Coturnix japonica: one gene and its partner. The protein of the gene in region 1 binds, or shares a complex with, the protein of each later gene. Links are inferred from orthologs where the notes say so. Each region holds a gene or a part of one and is shown on either strand. Other genes may lie near its edges.

Region 1 (3,805 bases):
CCCTTGGATGGAGTAACACCTTATTTTCAAGTCCAACAAAAACTTGCCTGTTCTCAGAAGCCCACAGTGGACATCTGCGATGGACAATACTTGTACATAAGAGGGTGCTCACTGTGTGCTATGGTCTCTGTGTAGTCAGCCTGCCCGATTTAAAATATCCCATTGGGTTACAAAATCCCATTGCTCCCATTCCAAGGGCCAAAAGGACACAAGGCTTAGACAGTCTAAACTGTGTCTGCAAGGTACAGTCCTAACAGACCTAGTTAGGTATCAGACTACCGTTGTGTAGTGTGTCTCGACCTTTAGGAGACTGCATTCAGAAGTGATTGGTTTTGGTTTGGTGCATTACAACCACATTCTTCTGACATTTATCTGTACGCTGCTCTGCTGCATTTACTGCAGTGGTGTTCCCTGCCTCCTCTATAGCACTTCATAATATATGAGAACACCATCATCTGCTAAGATTTGTTTTCACAACGTTTGCATTATCCCATTACTCTCCATCCCCCCAGCTCATGGCTTCAGTTTGCACAAACTGAAAAGGAGAAGGCGTGTGGAGTGGCAGGAGGGTTTTCAAGGCCAATTATCAGCAGTGCCAAGGCACTGCAGGAATCACCAGGGGGAGGTGTGAAACAATGACGCGTTTTCCAATTGACAAAACAGCTCCCCCAACAAACAGAAATGTTCTAAGCAGGAAAATGAAGTTGTTTAGCAGGCAGAGGCTGGTTTTACTGCATAACAAACACCAAGGGACCCTCACACAGAAAAGCAAAGGAGAAGGATGAAAACTTACCAGTGAAGCAAAGACATATTTCTGGTCCTTCTCCTGAAGGAATATGAGCATGTCAGAGAGGAGAACAGCCTGGACTTCTGCAAAAAGAGAAAAATTATATAGGTGCTGTATAACCACCCACACAACACACTCCTAAGCAGATTTATCTTTTAATAACACTGGCCACTGGGGAGCACAAGGGCTGGTCTGGGATCAGCCTGCAGTGCTGTGCAACACCTGGTTAGATGCTGGAAGGGCCATGCAATGCAGAGCTGCCTTGGGAACCCCCCCCTGGGTGGGAGGGCTGCTCTCCAGCCATGAACTGCCCACAGGTAGGACATGGAATAGCAGCAAGAACTGGAGACACAGAACAGAATTGTTTTCTGAAGCAATCAATATTTCAGCCCATGAGCAAAGCATCAGCACAGGAAGTTGGGGGTTTTATGTCTTTTTCAAAGAGTAGTTTGGGGGAGTGTAAATTATTGTGCAACAGCAACATTTGTCAGCTGCAGTTTCTTTACAGGAAACAGTGACTTCAGAAGCCACCACCAGCTCTGCTCACAGACAAACAAAACCCCTGCTAACTCCAAGGGGAGCTAACAGAGCCCAGCTTGAGATGCAGGACCTTTATTTCATGGTGGAAGGAAGCACAGCACCAAGCGATTGAGAAGATCTTAAATCAGAATACAAACGTTTCCCAAAGTACATGCACAGCCTTCCAAGTCTCCTAATGACAGAGCATAAAGCTGCACACTAAGTACCAAGTATAATACCCCACCCATATCCCTCAGTACAAAGCGTTTTTGTGTTATGTACTTGGGAAATCTTGTGACACACAGGAAGCAAACCAAAAAGTGAAATCATCCCATGGTAATTCCTTCCATTCTGCTTTAGGAAGACAGGATCTGCTTTGGATAAAAGAACCACCAAATCTTAATCAAAGCTGCAAAGTGAACTCAAAACCCTTGGAGGTTTGCATGAGTCAGCATTTGACCCCATTCTTCTCCATCACTATATTTTCCATGCACTCTGCAAGAGGGGAAATGCTGACAAGGTGCAAGAAAAAGTTCTTCCCAAATTTCTATCTTTTCCACCTAAAGTACCACAGAATTGCCAAAGGATCAGAACCAGCTGCACCCCTACTGGGATCGACAGGTCCTGCTTTTGCTGGGAACATGCACTACAGAACAGGCATTTCTGTGACTTAGAAATACAAATGCAGCCTGTGCTTATCACAGTATTTCACAACAGCAGCATAACTTGCTTCATCCACCTTATGAAGTCATTAGTAATCCTGGAAGCTCAGAAAACAAACATAAACTTCCTGTTTCCAAAACGTCAAAATAAATCATATCCGATTTGAAATTGCTGTCAAAGGCTCTCAGAGCAGCAAAATAAGTTCTGGGGATTCCAATCTGAGGAGCAACCCTATGCCCAGAGAGGGAATTGTTACCTTTTAACCGCCCAGCTGCATTTTTCAGTGAAACAGGCCCATCTCGGATGAGCTTCCGATGCCTCAAGTCCTCTCTTGCAAACATCTGACCACTCTTCATCCTCATGATGGACTTGCTGTCCGTCCGGTTGTAAATCTCATCAAGGCGCATTTTCTTCTCATAGTTACTGACTTTGCTATTGACCGCGGCAATCACATCTTTAACAAGGTTTAATGACTGAGTCAAGTCTTCATGTTCCACTTCATTTTCTTTGAACAGAAAGAGAAAGATTTCTATTTCACTTTATCCTTGTGGACATCCCTGTTTTCCCTTTACTTCCTTCCTCTTCTCCCTCTCAGACTCCTGCATTATAACTTTTTAACATTCTCCCAACAGGATGCATCTTTCCTTCCTAAGCAGAGCTTCACAAACCCTTTCACATACAGGGTTGAGGCTGGGAGATGTTCCAATATACCTCAAGACAGTAGATGAGAAATGAGCAAAGTAACCACATCTTTTAGCTGTTATGAAAAAAAAGGTAAGCTGGAAGACTCTGGAGCCTGAGCATGCTGGCTCTATAATTATCACAGAATCACAGAATTACCCGGGTTGGAAGGGACCTCAAGGATCATGTAGTTCCAACCCCCCTGCCTAGCAGGGCCACCAAACATACACAATTAGCTAGAGATAGATTACATCAATGAAACCAAGGCACCTGATCAACTAACACTGAACAGAGAGATGAAACATGGTTATCCCATTATAACAGTGTGAGACAACGACTGGCTTAGTGTGCCAACTCTAAGAAAATTTAAGGAAAAAAAAAGGTCCTGGTAATGCACACTTGATGAGCAAATACACGCTTACAAAAGAACTGGCCCCTACCTGCAGTGTACTGCAGTATCCTCTGTAACAGGACCGGGTACTTTGTGATTCTCTGCGTTACCAACAAGATACATTCAGAAATCCCAAGGCGTCTCACCAACGAGGAGCTCATTTTTTTCTAAGAAACAAAGCCAAAAATTTCAGTTCTGTAGCAAAGCACCCAATGGAGCACAGAAAGGAATCAGTTTTTCTCCCTATGGGCTGTTTCTCTTTCACCAGGTCCTACCTTGACAAAAGCCTGGAAACGTTTGTCCTTTGAGTACAGATCTTTGAAGTAATTTACTGCCTCATTGTGATGCCCACAGAATTTGCCATATGTCTTCTTCATTCTCTCAGCGTTCTCTCCGGAGAACTGCAAGACAAGAGATGTAAAGATCCAACTTCCACTGAGCTCTTGGTGCAACTTCCAGCAGCGCCTGTCAGTCTCTCAAATGAATTTTATGAAAACAAATCAGCACAAAGCTCAATAAGCCAAGAAATTAAATCTCTAGAAAGTAACAAGCGGAGTCTGTGGCTCTGCTGCATTCACACTTAACACTAAATCTGGGACGGCACCTCAGTGGAGTTTAAAAGCCAAAGAGGGAGAGTTAGAGAAAGGAGAATGGGAGAAAACATAAAGGAAAGCACAAGAGCCCGCCCTAAGTTAAATATCTTCTCTCTCTGTACATCAGCCAAGAAACGCACTGCACACATTGCATTGCAGGCTACTGCCTTC
Region 2 (4,601 bases), on another chromosome or scaffold:
GCCATGGCCGGGCCGGGCAGTGAGACTGTGCCGTGTAGGAGCGGGGAGCTGCGGGGACCGGGAACGAGCCGGGTCGGGTCGGGTCGGGTCGGGTCGGGTCGGGCCGTAGCGGCGGCACCGGGAGCTGCCACCGGTGCTTGGCCGCAGGAAGCCAGCTGTGCGCCACGTGCCCGCCCCGCAGCCTATGGCAGCGCTGCCGTTTTGTTTTGATACATTTGCCCGGCTCTTAAAGGAGCCGTAACACATTCTGCTCCACGACGAGCCCCGGCGCCCCCGCGTGGGCGGTGCGGTCACGGACAGCGCTGGGTCCCGGTAGTGCTGCGTCCCGGTAGTGCTGTATCCCGGTACTGCTGTATCCCGGTAGTGCTGCCCATTGCAGCGTGTGCCATTACTCGCCCTAAACCCGCTCGTTGAGCCCAAACTCCAGGATTGCTGCCCTGCTGGCACAAAGCCGGGCCCACCCCGTTCCCAGCTCTGTGATACGAGCAGTGTGTCACAGCCCGCAGCCCCGAACGTGGGCTTTGGGAATGCTCCCAGGCTGAGCTGAAAGGCGGTGAATCTGCTACGTCTCTCATTAAAGTAATTACTCGCACTATTAACATCAGTGATTTATTTCCCATTTGAGCCTTTCTAGCTTCAATTTACAGCTGCTGGATGTTAGCGCTGTCACTGGGTCCAGCCCGGACACAGGTGCAACCCCGGACCCATGTTTCCTGTCCTTATTTCAGACACATTTTCCAGCTCTCAAACCGATCAAACGAAGCTCTGCACAGCCCGGATCGGAACTGCACGAGACTGCACGAGGGCTGCGTTTGCTCCCACCCCTCCTTCGTAGCGGTTTGGATCACGCTGGGAAATTTCTGCCTGCAAAGATTGCTCCCCATAGAGCAGATTGCAGGATAGGTCAGGGCTGGTTCACGGGAGACCCCAGCAATGGGATCCCATGGGAATGCGATGGCATCACTTATCCCTGTGCAGGGTGACGTGGCTGCTGCGGGTCCCCCCTTGCATCAGCCCTGCCCAGCACGTGCCCGGGCAGGTGATGCTGATGCACGCAGGGGCAGATAGGTGGGGGATTTTCCAAAGGGGCTGTGCAGGGTCCTGGCTGCCCCACAGCTGATGCTGGAGCGTGCAAAGCAGCACACGGCTGTTGTTTAACATCCTGCAAACGAATGGATGGAGGGTGTTACGAGCTGCGGCTTCTCCTTCAAGGCAGAGGGTGCTGCTTGCACCTGCCCAGGCTGTTCCCAGCAGGCTCCCATTTCCTGCACTTACACGGAGGTAACTGGGACACAAGGCGGTCCAAGTTCCCTTGGCATTGTGGTGATGTGCTCATATAGGTAAAGCTCCAATCAGTGCGTTCCCTAAAGGGAAAGATACAAAAGCGTCCCGTGTTATGGGGGCTCTGCTGGCCCCGCTGGGCTCATCCCCCCGCAGGGCAGCTCCATTTTGCCCGCCCTACTCACTTCATTCTCTCCACCTCACCCGACAACCATAAAATTCCCCTGGCGGAGGCGGGCAGGGCGGAAGCTCCACCCACTCCACCGTTCTACCCAATCACGATGGCGCTTCCCCCGCGAGGGGGCGTGTCCAAACCCTTTAAGCCCCGCCCCTTCGCTGTTCATCCCCCGCCGCCGTCGCGCAGGTTGGGACAGTGCCGGGTATCGCCTTGTGCCCCAGCGCTGCGGGGCCGTCGGCCGTCATGTCTGTGCCCAGAGGTACGAGCGGGGTTCGGTTCGGTTCGGTGTGCGGGGGATGCGGGTTGGGGCTCTGCGTGGTTCTTTGGGGGCTGCCGTGCTCTGTGCCTGCAGCCCACGCTGTGTCCTGAGCGTGGGGCATCCCCGTGTTGTGCGTGGGGCCGTCGGGGAGGACACGGGTGGGTTTGGATCCCTCCCCGCTCAACGTGGCGGTGGGAGCTCGGCGCTGTGTCTGTGACACGTCGTTTAGATGAGCCCTGAGTGGGGTGGGGGGGATTGAGAGAGGAGGGGTCGTATTGTGGTGGTGGGTGGGGGACACGCGGGGCGTGCCCGCTTATCACCGCAATGCAATGCAATGCAATACAATGCAATTCAATGCAATGCGGGGGGTTTCCTCGCTGCGGAGCGATGCTCTGGAAAGTCTCGGTCAGGCTCCATGTGAGCAATGAAGCACCTCGGCGTGACCGCTGCTTTTTTCCCCCCTTCCCCTTCTCCCCGCCCCCCCCCATAAAACTCTCCGTGTCTTAAACGGAGGGAATGTGGACCTGAGTTTCCTGTTTGCTGTGTAAGCGGGAGGAGGAGGAGGGGGGGGGGTTGTGAATCAGCAGCGATTTACGGCGCTGCGAGCGGAGCTGCTGACTCACGGCTGCGGGTTGGGGCCGCTCAAAAGGCGCTCGGGAGCGCGCCCGGCCCCGCACCTCGTCGGGAACGCGCGTGGATGGAGGGATGGACGGCAGAGGTGAGCGATGCGGGATGCGATGCGGGATGCAGTACGGGATGCGATGCGGGATGCAGTACGGGATGCGATGCGGGATGCGCTCCGCACCGCGGCTGGGCCGTTTGTTTCCTAGAGCTGTGGGATTATCGCTGCGTTTTGCTTCTCTCTCTGCTATTCGTTGCCCTGCACATGGTTTGTTGGCTGCTTCCTAGTGGTGCTGGTGGGATGGATGTGGGTATGTGCAGCGCGGAGCGGGACCCGCTGCCTTCCAGGGGGGTTTGGTGCTGTTGGGGTGGTGCCGCTTTGCGTTCCGTGGTTCAAAGGAGAACGAGTTGGGGCTCTCATGGATCCTTCCGCCCCAAAGCTCGCTGCCGTCATTCGGGTGTAGTCACGGGGCCCGTCTGCTGCCTCCGGAGTGTTTGGGGCTGCGCGTGGCCGCCCGTGACACGCGTGATAGGAATGGAGCCGGGCGGGAGCGATCCTGGCGCTAAACATAGCTGCTGAGATAAACACCTTGTGGGGATTACGCAGGGCTTAGTGCCAGCATCTCGGCTTTCTTCCTCTTCCCACTGCCCGGATCTGATCCCTCGCGGGGTGAGATGTGTGGGGATGGGATGCGAGATAACGTGGAGTGCCGAGCAGCAGCGCTGGGGTTTGCTCCAATGTGCCCAAGCTCTCCTGTCTGTCCCATACAGCAGCACAGCCTCAGGTGTTTTAGGAGCTGTGCGACCCTCTGTGCTGTGGGGTCGGGTGGGTTCTCTGCTTTCTGGACTGATTTTGTGGCTGGGGGGCACTGTGGGGTTTTGACCCCATTGTTTTGCTGTCACTGTGCTGATATGGGCAGGCTGTTTGCTGGAGGAGCAATGGGGTGAGATCTGTTGTTTGGGGGAGGTTTTAATTCACCAACCAAAAGTTTGGGGTTTTACTGGTGTGTGACTCAGGGCTGCTTGTGGGTATGTGTGGGGCTTGGTGCAATTGGAGGCTGAGCCAGAGGCTCTGGAGTGGCAGAAAGGGCTTTTTCTGAAATTTATGGTGGAAACTGAAAGTTCCCATTCTTCTTCCTATTCTTTTTATTTGCAATCCCAAGGAGTGTCCAGGGAAGGGGCACAGCTTCAGGTCCTTTACACTGCTCCCCCTCCAACCTCTCCTTCCTCCCTAAAGAACATGCCAGCAGTTGGGCACAGCTGTAGGTACCACCCCAGCACCTTGCTGTCCCCTTTTGGCAGTGGGTCCTGGGCTCTGTTGCCCTGTCCTCAGCAGGAATGGGGGTTTGTGGACCAGGGGCTGCAGGCAGAGCCCTCTCACAGCTCAGGTGTGACATCAAGGCTGCATTTCTGTCTTTAGGGTGAGCTGCGGTGTCTTTGTTGCATCCCTATTGCAGGAGGGGATGGATGGATGGATGTTGCTTTGGGCATTATAGGAATTGCCCTCATGTGCTGCAGATTAAGGGGAATGCTGTGATGTAAGGGCACAGTGGTGAGCACTGTGCTGGCTGCAGGCAGCTGGAGGTCAGAGTGCTGCTTCTAAGAGCTGCTGCAGCAGCCCCACAGCTTTGAGATGAGTGGGGCCAGACCGTCCAACAGGGTTAGTTTAAGGGGTTGAGGTTTCTCTGAAGTGGGAAAGCATGACATTGGGTGCATGTGATGATGTCTCCACATCCCTGGTCCCTCTGCTCTGTGGCTTCATGACTCCTCATAGGAAAGCAGCTGGCAGCAGCTGGCTGTCACCATCATCTTGTGAGCTACTGGGGGGAGAGGAGGAGCTGGCAGATATCTGTCCCCCATGGGTTGCAGCAAGATTGCTCCAGCTCTGTCCATTGCTTCCTGCTTGGCTTCAGCATCTCAGGTGAAGTGCTTGTATATAAATGTATATCACATTCAGATATTCAGAGGACAGCTTTGCTTTAAAAACATAACTCAAAAGGAAGAGTAAGCAGGATGAGGAGGAGACACAAACCTACCAGAAACTGTTTGCGGAGCAACCACCCTTCCTGCTCCTCACACCACCACCAAAAGAAATCTCCTTTAGGGAAGGAGGAAGCAGAGCTCTCACTGAAGGCTGGCTGCTGTCAGAGGCTTCTGACCTGGGCTGTGGTTTGGCACTGCACATCCCGTGCAGCTGTGTGATGGATGTGCTGCATGTCTCTGACCATGGGTGCAGGATGCTCTCTGCCTCAGAGTGGCTGA

Evidence for each region.
Region 2: AKAP13 (region 1) and MAP2K3 share a complex: the UniProt entries of both Homo sapiens proteins name them as parts of the signaling complex. The link is inferred for Coturnix japonica from reciprocal best matches to the Homo sapiens genes AKAP13 and MAP2K3.

The regions. Positions count from the first base shown.
Region 1 is NC_029525.1:12,534,256-12,538,060, forward strand, and holds part of AKAP13 (A-kinase anchor protein 13), read right to left. Parts: intron 3,443-3,805; coding exon 3,317-3,442; intron 3,209-3,316; coding exon 3,091-3,208; intron 2,475-3,090; coding exon 2,226-2,474; intron 871-2,225; coding exon 794-870; intron 1-793. UniProt on the Homo sapiens protein: Scaffold protein that plays an important role in assembling signaling complexes downstream of several types of G protein-coupled receptors.
Region 2 is NC_029529.1:4,552,606-4,557,206, reverse strand, and holds the start of MAP2K3 (dual specificity mitogen-activated protein kinase kinase 3), read left to right. Parts: upstream 1-1,610; 5' UTR 1,611-1,702; coding exon 1,703-1,718; intron 1,719-2,315; exon of another isoform or gene 2,316-2,423; coding exon of another isoform or gene 2,424-2,436; intron 2,437-4,601. Other genes in the region: protein NATD1, read right to left, coding at 1-5. UniProt on the Homo sapiens protein: Dual specificity kinase. Is activated by cytokines and environmental stress in vivo. Catalyzes the concomitant phosphorylation of a threonine and a tyrosine residue in the MAP kinase p38.